Linked DNA regions of Rattus norvegicus. The protein of the gene in region 2 interacts with the protein of the main gene of each other region in a biochemical or structural test. Links are inferred from orthologs where the notes say so. Each region holds a gene or a part of one and is shown on either strand. Other genes may lie near its edges.

Evidence for each region.
Region 1: the proteins of Hdac6 (region 2) and Mapk3 form a complex in vitro, tested with the Homo sapiens proteins (2 studies listed by BioGRID, with this or other methods). The link is inferred for Rattus norvegicus from reciprocal best matches to the Homo sapiens genes HDAC6 and MAPK3.
Region 3: the proteins of Hdac6 (region 2) and Cttn form a complex in vitro, tested with the Homo sapiens proteins (3 studies listed by BioGRID and IntAct, with this or other methods). The link is inferred for Rattus norvegicus from reciprocal best matches to the Homo sapiens genes HDAC6 and CTTN.

Annotation. Positions count from the first base shown.
Region 1 is NC_086019.1:190,795,729-190,800,000, reverse strand, and holds the start of Mapk3 (mitogen-activated protein kinase 3), read right to left. Parts: upstream 2,808-4,272; 5' UTR 2,774-2,807; coding exon 2,601-2,773; intron 1,684-2,600; coding exon 1,501-1,683; intron 1-1,500.
Region 2 is NC_086039.1:17,233,050-17,236,694, forward strand, and holds part of Hdac6 (histone deacetylase 6), read left to right. Parts: intron 1-1,541; coding exon 1,542-1,668; intron 1,669-1,761; coding exon 1,762-1,827; intron 1,828-1,919; coding exon 1,920-1,979; intron 1,980-2,056; coding exon 2,057-2,146; intron 2,147-3,260; coding exon 3,261-3,367; intron 3,368-3,456; coding exon 3,457-3,524; intron 3,525-3,645.
Region 3 is NC_086019.1:209,043,946-209,047,590, forward strand, and holds part of Cttn (src substrate cortactin), read right to left. Parts: intron 2,883-3,645; coding exon 2,772-2,882; intron 2,350-2,771; coding exon 2,239-2,349; intron 1,483-2,238; coding exon 1,372-1,482; intron 358-1,371; coding exon of another isoform or gene 314-357; exon of another isoform or gene 171-313; intron 1-170.

The DNA.
Region 1 (4,272 bases), on a different chromosome or scaffold from region 2:
GAGTCCTTTTATACTTGAAGATAAAACAAAGACTAAACACAAACAAATGTCATCTGGCTTATCTTTGGAAGAGTAATCAGGAGCTGGGCAGAGTACGTCACTCCTACAATCTCAGCACTTGAAGCAGAGGCCAGAGGCTTGCCTAGAAGTTTAAAGCCAGCCAGGTCTACAGAGTTAGCCTGAGGCCAACCAGGGATACACAGTGACACTTTCTCAAAAAATGAAGTCTGAACTGTCTTCCACAGAAGACATGTGAGAGCTGGGGCTGGTGGCACCCAGGATCTCTATGAGTTCAGGGCTAGCCTGGTCTACATAGGGAGACCCTTTCTCAAAAAGAAGAAGAGAGAACAAGCATATGCAGATACACACACATGGACCAACCCTGCCGCTTTACAAATGTGGAAGTCCGGAGGTGCAGAGACCTGCTGAAGGTCATGCAACAAGACAGGAGTAGTCGATTTCCTGTGGTCAGAGCTGCAGAGGCTGCAGAACAAATCCTGGGATCGGGAGGGGTGGGTAGGGAAGAGGCCATGGGTGCTACAGTCTACTAGCAATGGCGCCAAGCAGGAAGTACATGTGGACAATGAACTAAATGTCTGAACTAGGCAAGCAGTGTCAAGCAAGGGCAACAAGGGCTGGACTACCTTTCCTGGTCAAGGTACAAGGCCGCAGGTAATCAGGGTGGGGCTCTCAGAAGAGTGGGAAGGCTCCAAGAAAGCCAACTGGGGAAGAAGAGGAAGCAACAAACAGGAACAGCTGAATTTAGGCTTTCTTCTATAGGCAGACTCTCAGGGCCCCTCGTCCTTCCTTGAGCCCCTGGCTAGACCAGGAGTGCAAAGGCGTGGCTCCGCCCTGTGAGTCTAGGGTCTTCAGGTTCCTCCTCTTAACAATGCAAGGTGGTGTGAAAGCCTCCACCCTCTCCACGTTGGAGAAAGTATCGCCCCTCCCCCACAGAAGGCCCAGCAAAACACAGAGCCTCAGTTTCCTCATCTTAGAAATGGACGCGGTAAAGCTCATCACACAGGGAAGCTAAAAGGTTGAATTAGAACCAAAGCGCTAGGCATGCCCAATGCTGGTTTTCTTCCTCGCTTTCAATCCAGTGTGAGGTCTCTAAAGAATCGTGAGTCTGTTGAGCAAGAAAGGGCTGTGGGCAGAGACTGGGTCATGTCACAGAACTGCAGATGTCAGAAGACAAAGCTCCCATAGAGATGGTTTGCCCAGCATTCTCCCCTCCCCACACACCATACTGGGGCACAGAGCAGAAAAGGATGTGTTCAAGGCCACTCCACTTGGCTGCAACAGACCAGGATCCAAGGCCTGCCAGGGTGCTCTTCTGCTCCGTAGACTCTCAGCTAAAAAGTTACTTTGCTGGGTTTTTAAGTTTTTTGGTTTTTTTTGGTTTTTTTTTTTTTTTTTTTTTTTGAGGGTGGCACAACAGACGACAACAGAAAGCAAAGCCAAGCTCCTTAGCCTCGCTCTGGAGCTGTGGCTAAAGGATACACATCTCTCATGGCTTCCAGGGTGGGTGCTCTGAGGATGTCTCGGATGCCTATGACATTCTCATGGCGGAATCGCAGCAAGATCTGGATTTCTCTCAGCGTGCGCTGACAGTAGGTTTGATGCTCGAAGGGGCTGATCTTCTTGATAGCCACTCTGGTCTTGCGCACGTGGTCATATGCTGAGCTGAGAGAGCCAGAGAGATGTGTGGCCTTACAAAGGGGGAATCCAGGCCTGGTGGCCCCACCCAGGCCTTGGCAGGGACCGGAGAGAGCAGGAGAGGGTTCTGGCCAAGTGTAAACAATGCTGGCTCCTTCCTGCTGTGAAGGCCTGGAATCTCCAGGGGGAAAGCTGGGGACCAGCCAGGCAGCCTTTCAGTGACTTCACAAACAGAGGAAGAGAGTGGCCACTCACTGACTTCCTTTCTCCTGGACCCTCTTACATTGTAGTTGCCCTCACCCTCCTCCCCTTTCCTGAGCTGGACTCTCTCAATCCAAGACAGGTCCAGGGGATGGGAGTTAAATGGAGAGAGTGGATGAAACCCAGAGGATTCAGTAATGGGACAGGGGAAGAGATAAGAAGGGGTAGGTCTGTCTCCCGGTGAGGTTCCTGGGTCAGAGCTGTTCCCATAGGAACAAAGGCCCAGAGCACAGAGTGGGGCAGCGAGAACTCACAAACCTGTATCCCACAAAATAAGGCACATTCTAGAGACCCCTCCCTACTTTGGGCCTCTGGCAAGGCCAGGGGCAGGGGTGCAAAGGTTTGCCCCACCCTGAGCTTTGCTCTGCTCTCTCAAACTCTGTCACAACCTCATCAGGGGGGAACCAAGGCTCCCACTACCTGCTTATGGGTCTCTCACTCCCCCTTCACCAAGAATAGTCATCCTCTTAGCTCCACCTGTATCTCTAGGGTCCCCCAGGTGCCCCTCCCTTAACAATACAAGGTGGCTTCCAAGCCTCCAACCCCCCTTCCCGGAGAAAGTAGCTCCTGGTCCCCCAGAAGTCACTGCACGATCCCTCCCCTGCGACACTCCCCGGACCCCATGTCCCGGGCACGCACCTGCTGTCCCCGCTCTGAAGCCCCCTCCTGGGACACCCCCTCACCTGACCATGCCGTACGCGCCCTCGCCGATGTACTGCAGCTGCGTGTAGCGTGGGCCCACGTCGAATGGCTGCCCCTTCACCACCTCCACCTCCCCGGGGACCACCGGGACGACCCCAGCAGTTCCCCTGGGCTCCCCGCCCCCGCCCCCCGGAGCCGCCGCCGCCGCCGCCATCTCCACTCCTCCCGCCTCCCCCCGCTGCCCCGCCCGCGGCCCCGCCCCTCCCTGCCGCCCTGTCACCGCGGGGCCGCGCGCCAGGCTCCGCCCCCGCCCCCGCGCGCCCCGCCCCCGCGCCTGCCCGGCGAGCCTGCGCGGGCCCGCGATGTCACGTGGTCTACTGAGAGCGCGCCCGGCTTTCCCGCCTAGTTACGCTGTTCCTTCCTTGCCTTGGCCACTAGGGTACTTTAGTCTGCCTAGAGAGTACTGCAGCCCCAGGGGCCAGTGGCCCTGAGTGATGCTGAGGGAACCCACCCCTAAACTTTGGAGACCTGCCTCTCACTTTTTGTTTCATTTACGCAGACAGTATTAATCCAGGCCAGCCCCAAAGGTTCTATGTGGTGGAGGTTGGCCACATCCTCCTACCTTTAGGCCTGAGCCATCATGCAGATTCTGGATGTTAGGCAAGAATCCTATCACTGAGCCACATTTCCATCTTCTCTCTCTCTTTTTTTTTCTTTTTTTCTCTTCCTTCCTTCGTTTCTTCCTTCCTTCCTTCCTTCCTTCCTTCCTTCCTTCCTTCCTTTCTTTCTTTCTTCCTTTTTCTAAGAGGGTCTCTTGACATGGAACTGGCTGTCCTGGAACCCACTATGTAGACCAGGCTGGCCTCAGCATACTAACTCCCCTGTGCTGGGATTAAAGACTGTATCACAATGCCCAGATTCCATAATTTCTTATTCGTTTATTTGCCACATTTATTAATTTTGTGTGTTGGGGCATGAGTATGTCACAGAGCCTGTGTGGAGATCAGAGGATATCAGATTCCTTCTGCTGTGCAGGTCCTAGGTATCCGACTTGGGCTGTCAGACTTGGTAGGAAGTACCCACGTTTGCTGGGCCCCCCTGTGGTGGTGGTGGGCTTATCCTAAGTGTTATAGTGAGGAAGCAGTCTGAAGGGTGGTGGATGGCAGGCAGCACTAGAAAGCTGTGAAGTCAGGTATGCTCCTGTGAAGAGGCAGGCCTGCAGTGGGCTCAGGTGTGTTCTGAGACCCAGTGTTATTGCCTGGAGGACATGCAACCCAGCCCACTTCATATGAGAAGGAGGGAAAGGGTGATAACTGTGAACAAAGATAACTAAATCAATTAAAATGTACAATCTGTTTCTCTCTCTCTCTCTCTCTCTCTCTTACACACACACAGACACACACACAGACACACACAGACACAGATACACACACACACACACACACACACACACACACACACGTGCGCGTGCCAAACAGCAAAATCAAGACCCTGGATCGAGGCTAGTAAGATGGTTAGGTAAGCAAAGATGTTACCATAAGAATGCTAAAAATTTTTTTTAAAGATTTATTTATTTCATGTATGTGAGTACACTGTAGCTGTCTTCAGACACACCAGAAGAGGGCATCAGATCCCATTACAGTTGGTTGTGAGCCACCATGTGGTTGCTGGGAATTGAACTCAGGACCTCTGGAAGAGCAGTCAGTGCTCTTA
Region 2 (3,645 bases):
CAGAAAGGAGAGGGGATCCTTAGAGTATTGGAACAAGCAGGGTATAGTTGATCAGCAAGATGTTAACTGGATAGATAGATGGACAAACAAGTGAAAGATTTTTTTTCACTCAAAACAGAATTACCTACCACTGCCCAAAACTGTCTCCTGTGCTTTCTTTTTTTTTTTTTTTTTTTGGTTCTTTTTTTCGGAGCTGGGGACCGAACCCAGGGCCTTGTGCTTCCTAGGTAAGCGCTCTACCACTGAGCTAAATCCCCAGCCCCTCTCCTGTGCTTTCTGTTGGAGTCTGTACATCTTGCCTTTTAGACTCAATATGAAGACCACGCCTTCTTAGCTAGGACCTATTCATCATGACTCTTTACCCAGAACGATGTGTGTGTGTGTGTGTGTCTGTGTGTCTGTGTGTCTGTGTGTCTGTGTATCTCCTCTCAGTTTGAACCTGCCAGAACCTGCCCATTATGTCATTTCAATTTCAGTTTCGTATGTTGGTCCCTCTCACTGCTGTGGACATTTTCTCATCTATGAAATAGAAGTAGTAGAGGTGGCTTTGTGACGTATTAAGGAAGAAGGACTGTCATAACTGAGTCATAGCAGCCTTAGACAAGATCCTTTCCTTTAGCACCACACACAAAACTGAGTCCTATCTTTCCTCACTTCTAGCCTCTGCATCTGTCCATTTCTTTCAGTGGAATCACTAGGTTCCCTATCATGGCCTCGAGACTCTTACAGCTCTCACTGGCTTCTGCATTTACGTTCTCCCAGGACCTCTGTGGACGCCCAGGAGCCAATATTGTTATTACCCTGGGATAATAGCACTTGGGGGGTGGATATGAGAAGACATTACCTAAGAGTTTTTCACAAGGTCAGCATTGCCCAAGTCCTTGGGTGGACTCAGTAGCTCTTGAGACCTTAGACTTGAGTCTGAAATTGGGTAGATACTAACAGAAGGGCTCTGGTGGGAGATCAGTGAAAATGTAGAAAAAATGGGAGAATTAATGAGAAAATGAAGAAGTTGGTAAGTGAATGGAAGGGTAAACTAATGGAAAAATTATGAGTATAGATTGAGAATTAGAAAAAATGTATGCGATGGGGCTGGAGAGATGGCTCAGTGGTTAAGAAGACTGACTGCGGGGTTGGGGATTTAGCTCAGTGGTAGAGCGCTTGCCTAGCAAGCGCAAGGCCCTGGGTCCCCAGCTCCAAAAAAAGAAAAAAAAAAGAAGACTGACTGCTCTTCCAGAGGTCCTGAGTTCAATTCCAGGCAACCACAACCATCTGTAATGGGATCTGATGCCCTCTTCTGGTGTGTCTGAAGACAGCTACAGTGTACTCATATAAATAAAATAAATAATTCCTTTTAAAAAAAGAAAAACTTATAAGAGAATGAATTGAGTAGCTGTAAAAGCAACTTGTTGAACCAGTCCCTGCAGCTGTAGGTCAAGAGTCCTACACTTGACCCTTCAATTTTCATGTTCTTTTCTGTGCTGGGGATTGGGTTAACACAAGCTAGTTGATCCCTCAATGTTTCTTTTCTCTGCCTCTAGTGTACTCTATTTCTCCATCCACCGCTATGAGCATGGTCGGTTCTGGCCCCACCTTAAGGCTTCTAACTGGTCCACTACAGGCTTTGGCCAAGGCCAAGGATATACCATCAATGTACCTTGGAACCAAGTAAGTTTCTGCTCCCATAAACTGAGCCTAGCCTGCTTTCCCAGAGGCTCCAGAGAGATGACTGACTATTACATCGCGTTTCTGTGTCTGCAGGTGGGGATGCGGGATGCCGACTACATTGCTGCTTTCCTGCACATCCTGCTGCCAGTTGCCTTTGAGGTCCGGGAGATTTGGGGGATTTGGGGTAGGGGTAACACTGAGGGTTGATCCATGAAGGCAGCTGTTCTCACTTAGTTTGACCCCTTCCTCAGTTTCAGCCTCAACTGGTCCTGGTGGCCGCTGGATTTGATGCCCTCCATGGAGACCCCAAGGTAAGGCAGGTTCTCTGGGGTGTTAGGCAGACAAAGGGGGGTACACTGAGCTTCATGTCATTCTTATGTCCCCTTAGGGAGAGATGTCTGCCACTCCAGCAGGATTTGCCCACCTGACCCATTTCCTTATGGGTTTGGCAGGAGGCAAGTTGATTCTGTCTCTGGAGGTGAGTAACTCACCTTTATCTAACCCCGAGATACCAAAGAGCTTGGGGCTTTTGTATTTGTTTATTTCTTGTATATATGTGTGCGTGGGCACACTCTGGTGTGGTCAGAAGACAACATGGAGGGGTTGGTTCTCTCCTTTTACCATGTAGATTCTTTTGGGGGATTGAACTCAGGCTTGGTGGCAAGCCCTCTGATCCTCTGATTCATCTCACTGGCCCACATGAAGGCTTTTTTTTTTTTTTTTGCTTTTTTTTTTCCGGAGCTGGGGACCGAACCCAGGGCCTTGTGCTCGCTAGGCAAGTGCTCTACCGCTGAGCTAAATCCCCAACCCCCACATGAAGGCTTAAGAACAGATCTTTGGGGCCTAGGGGATGGAGTTAAAAGGTAGAATACTTAGCTACTATATTATAAGGGTTCCATTCTCGGGACCACTAAAAACAAGAGCTTTCATGTATGTAAGGAGTTCCTCAGGACTGAAAAGATAGCTCACTTGTTGACAGCACTTGCTCTTGCAGAGGACCTGGGTTTGTTTCCTAGCATGGTGGCTCACAGCTACCCATAACTCCAGTGCCAGGAGATCCCTCAGGCTCAAACATATATACACATATACATATATATTACATGGAGGTAAAAACTTCATAAAGTAAATAATTAACGTGATTTTTTTTTAGGATTTATTTATTTATGTATGTGAGTACACTATAACTGTCTTCAGACACATCAGAAGAGGGCATCAGATCTCATTACAGATGGCTGTGAGCCACCATGTGGTTGCTGGGAATTGAACTCAGGACCTCTGGAAGAGCAGTCAGTGCTCTTAACCACTGAACCATCTCTCCAGCTCCAGCCTGGGATTTTTTTTTTAAAACTGATTTCTTGGTTCAGCCTTACCACTTCATAAACTCTTTGTGCCTCTGCTCCCCTTATGTCAAGTCAGCAACATGATAATAGTAATAATCACTTTCCATTCATTTATCATGAATTAAATGAAGTCATTCTCTAAATTTCTTATTGATTGACATAGGATGCACCCAAATATTGTTACTATTCTCAGTATCTCTCCCTGGTAATATCTGGCCCTCTGCTTGCCTCCCCCAACAACTCCTTCCCTAGGGTGGCTATAACCTCCATGCCTTGGCTAAGGGCGTCAGTGGCTCACTCCACACCCTTCTTGGAGATCCTTGCCCCATGTTGGAGTCCCCTGTTGCACCTTGTGCAAGGTGAGCCTCGGGGGAGCAGGGGAAAGGGAAGCCCTTTCTGCCTGCTGGGAGGGGTAGTTTAGTCATATTTCTGCTTCCTTCATCCCCAGCGCCCAGACTTCTATCTCCTGCACTCTAGAAGCCCTTGAACCCTTCTGGGAAGTCCTTGAGAGATCAGGTAAGTGGTGGATGGCCGTGATCACCATTAGAATGAGCTATTGGAGGGTATTGTCTTTCAGATCTCCTCTTGTTGCCTTGTTGGAAAGGGCTGTGTGAATTTCAGGGCTTTTGTCCTGGCC
Region 3 (3,645 bases), on a different chromosome or scaffold from region 2:
CGAGCAGCGCAGGCACATGCGCATGGATCCGCAAACAGCCCGGGGACACAAACCAGAGCAGAGGGATGGGCAAGCTGCCGAGGACGGGCTCTCCTGGCAAAGCCAGCTGTCTAACCACAGTGCCCAGTGCAGGTAGGGAGCAGGGGAGGTGTGGGCATGCTTCCAGGAATGGGGACAGGGAGGGGATGGGCGCAGGCCGGCGGGAAGAAAGCGGAGGAGGGAGGACACAGGACAGGCCTTTGCAGTGCACACTCCTATAGCACAGTCTTCGCACCAGCAGGCCTTACTCTCATCTGCTTCCTGGGCGCCTGCTCTACTGGGCACTAATTAGAGGCCCCACCGTAGTGTGTTCTCTTGCTTTTTAAAAGAAAAAAACAAAACAAAAAAAAACCTCTGTGTGGAAATGCCACCAGACGAATCTGTCTGTCGCTGCCACACACAAACACATGAAAGTGACGGTCATGCAGCCTAGACATCACAAGGACCAAAGGCCACCTCCACACAATCTGCTGGGCCAGCACTAAGTACACTCGCCCTGGGCCTGATGGCATCTGGGAGCCTACAGTCCACGCTGATTCAGGGCGTCACATGCCTCCGCCTGGACACTGTCGGGTTCTAGAACCAGATCAGCTCTGGGGACCAGGTCTGATCTCTCAAGGAGAAGAAAGAGCAATAGCTACTGAGATCTCCAGGGCATGCCTCCCCTTGCCTGTATCAGCCACACACACAGTGTGCACTACGGTGAGGCTCTGGGTGGAGACAAATAGCACACAGACAGTGTGGCCAAAAAACAAAACAAAACAAATACATACACAAAACCTTGTACGCCTGGCCAAAAAGCAAAACCAAAAAAAACCAAGAAAACCAAAAACCAAAACAAAACAAAACAAAAACAAAAAATAAAAACAAAACAAAACCCACCACCACCAAGAAAAACCCCACACCACTGTAAACAAAGACACAGGGGGCACATAAAACAAGGCTATAACACTCCACGACCCCAGTGTGTGGTTAGCATCAGGTCTGGGAGAAGTAAATCAACTCCCTGTGGGTCAGAGGCAATGAGGAGGTGCTCAGAGATCAGCACTGGGGGTCGGCAGCGATGAGGCCAGAGGCTGCAGATACTGCCTACCTACAGAGTGCCTCCTAACCTGAACCCAAAGGTCGGAGGGAAAAAGAATGGGTGGGGTTGGGGGGGGGGGGGGGGGGACCGAGCTCCAGGTTGTTCCTCTGGCATGAAACTGAGTGGAGAACATCATGGCAGCCAGTGGCGGCACAGGAACTGTCACAGGCACTGTGGTAAACCCTGAAGTCTATGCTGCAAGCCAGCTGCACTGCAAGGGCTGGTAGGAGGAGGCAGGGGAACTGTGCCTTGCTGGGACTCGTGCTTGGCCAATTTCTCCTTGTAATCAAACCCCACAGCGGAGGAGTCCTGCCTCTCGGACTGAACACCAAATTTGCCTCCGAAACCAGTCTTATAGTCTGGAGATCCACGTGAGAGAGTGAGGAACATGACCGAGAGAGGAAACAGCTAGGTTAGAATCACATGAGCACGTGCGATTGTCAAGTACATCATGTTCAGACACAAGAGCTCTGATCTGCTGTTCTAACACTGACCGAGGTGTTAAGGAACAAACTCAGAGGCCAGCAGGCTCCAGTTGAGATGCAGAAGAAGGGTTGGAACTGGACGGTAAATGTAAAGTTTAGTTAAAGCTCCTCCAAGCTTCAAGGTTTGCCGGGAGGGACAGCTGGGGACAGCTATAAGGGTTCTACCCTCCTCAAACCAGCTTTCCCTGGGACAGGGTCCCACTGTGACAAGAAAAACTCCTCTAATTAGAAGGAAGTAGGCAAGGAATTGAGGGAGGCTCAGATAGAGACAGAATCTGTCCAGCACAGATCGTCCCTGGTTCCATCTCCAGGACCACAGAAAGAAGCCTGTCTTCCATACCATGGCCCACCTTACAAAGGAGAATGCAGGAACCCGGAGGACAAAAGCCCCATAGTAACCAGGCTCCCAGGGGCTACAGCCCTGGCATAGGGGGTGAGATGGGATGGGATTGTCTTATCCCCCTGCCACCTACAGAGACTTCTGGAACTGGGGGAGACAGGACAACTTGACACCATGAAAACAAAACTCAGACAAACACGGCTAACATGAAGCATGTGAACCCCTGAGGAACGAACACGAGCTTCCCAGAGGGCCCTGAGGAAAGCAGGGAGTGGGGCTAGAAGAGGTACCTTTTTGGGATTCATGCAGCTGCAGCTTCTCCTGATGGTCCCAGCCAAGGGCACACTTGTCCTGTCTGTCTGTCTGCACACCAAACTTTCCTCCAAAGCCTTTTACATAGTCTGCATGCACAACAGAAAGCCATACCCCGGCATTACTGCACAGCCAGGACAAAGAAGAGGTGGGTTTCAGATGCCACAAGACACACTTCACTAGTCCCTGGTGACACCCGACAGAGCCCTCCTTGAGATCACCGCATCTTAGGAGTGTGGTTAAACAGGCAGGACCAACGCATGCAGCCCTCAAGGCAGCGAGGTCTCATCACACACAGGCAGACGTGCGTGACAGGACACTGCTACAAGCAACACTGGGGCTTGGGGTCAAAGATGAGGCCACTGTTTGAGTTCTCATGTAACCACAGTCCGGGACCGGCCGCCTTAGGATGACCATTTAAACGACTGCAGATGACAGCCGTTTTTCTCTTCGGTGGCCACACCTGTCATCCTGGGAGGGGCTGGCGAGAGGAAGGTAAAGTGGCAGGTACCTTTCTGGGACTCATGCTTCTCTGTTTTGCCTTGATACTCAAAGCCCACAGCGCTTTTATCCACCTTGTCCTTGTCAATTCCGTATTTGCCACCAAAACCTTTGGAGTAATCTGAAACAAGAACAGCACCATATGGAGAACTAGCAACAGGGTGAGTTAGAAGGCTGGGGGTGCCTGCCACAAAGTGCGAAAGCCTGAGTTCAATCCCTGGGACCCACATGATCCATGGTATAAGGACAGTACCAACTCCTGCAAGTAGTCCTCTGACAGCCACACATGTACTCATCCATACACAAGCACAAAATGAATACACATAAAAAACTGAGCCAGGGGGCTGGGGGTTTAGCTCAGTAGTAGAGCGCTTACCTAGGAAGCGCAAGGCCCTGGGTTCGGTCCCCAGCTCCGAAAAAAAAAGAACAAAAAAAAAAAAAAAAAAAAACTGAGCCAGCATCAGACTAAATATTATATGGTCTTTAAGAATGTAAGTTGTGACCTGTCAAGATAGCTCAGTAGGCAAAGGCACTTGTCACTAAGCCGAATAACCTGAGCTCAATCCCTAGAACCCACATGGTGGGACGAGAGAGCCCAAGTGTGGTGGCTCATGCCTGTCTCCAGCACTCAGGAGGCCAAAGCAGATTACTGAGGACCTAAAACCAACCAATCCATTACGCACTGAGTTCAAAGCCACCCAGGGCGACAAAGTGAGACAGACGTTGGCTGAAAACAAACAAAATCAAAACCAAACAAAAACAAAAACAGAAAAGGGCCAGAGAGACGAGCACAGGATGCTCTTGCAGAGGACCAGATCCAGTCCCCAGCACCCACATGGTAGCTCACAACCACCTGTAATGGGATCTGATGCCCTCTTCTGGTA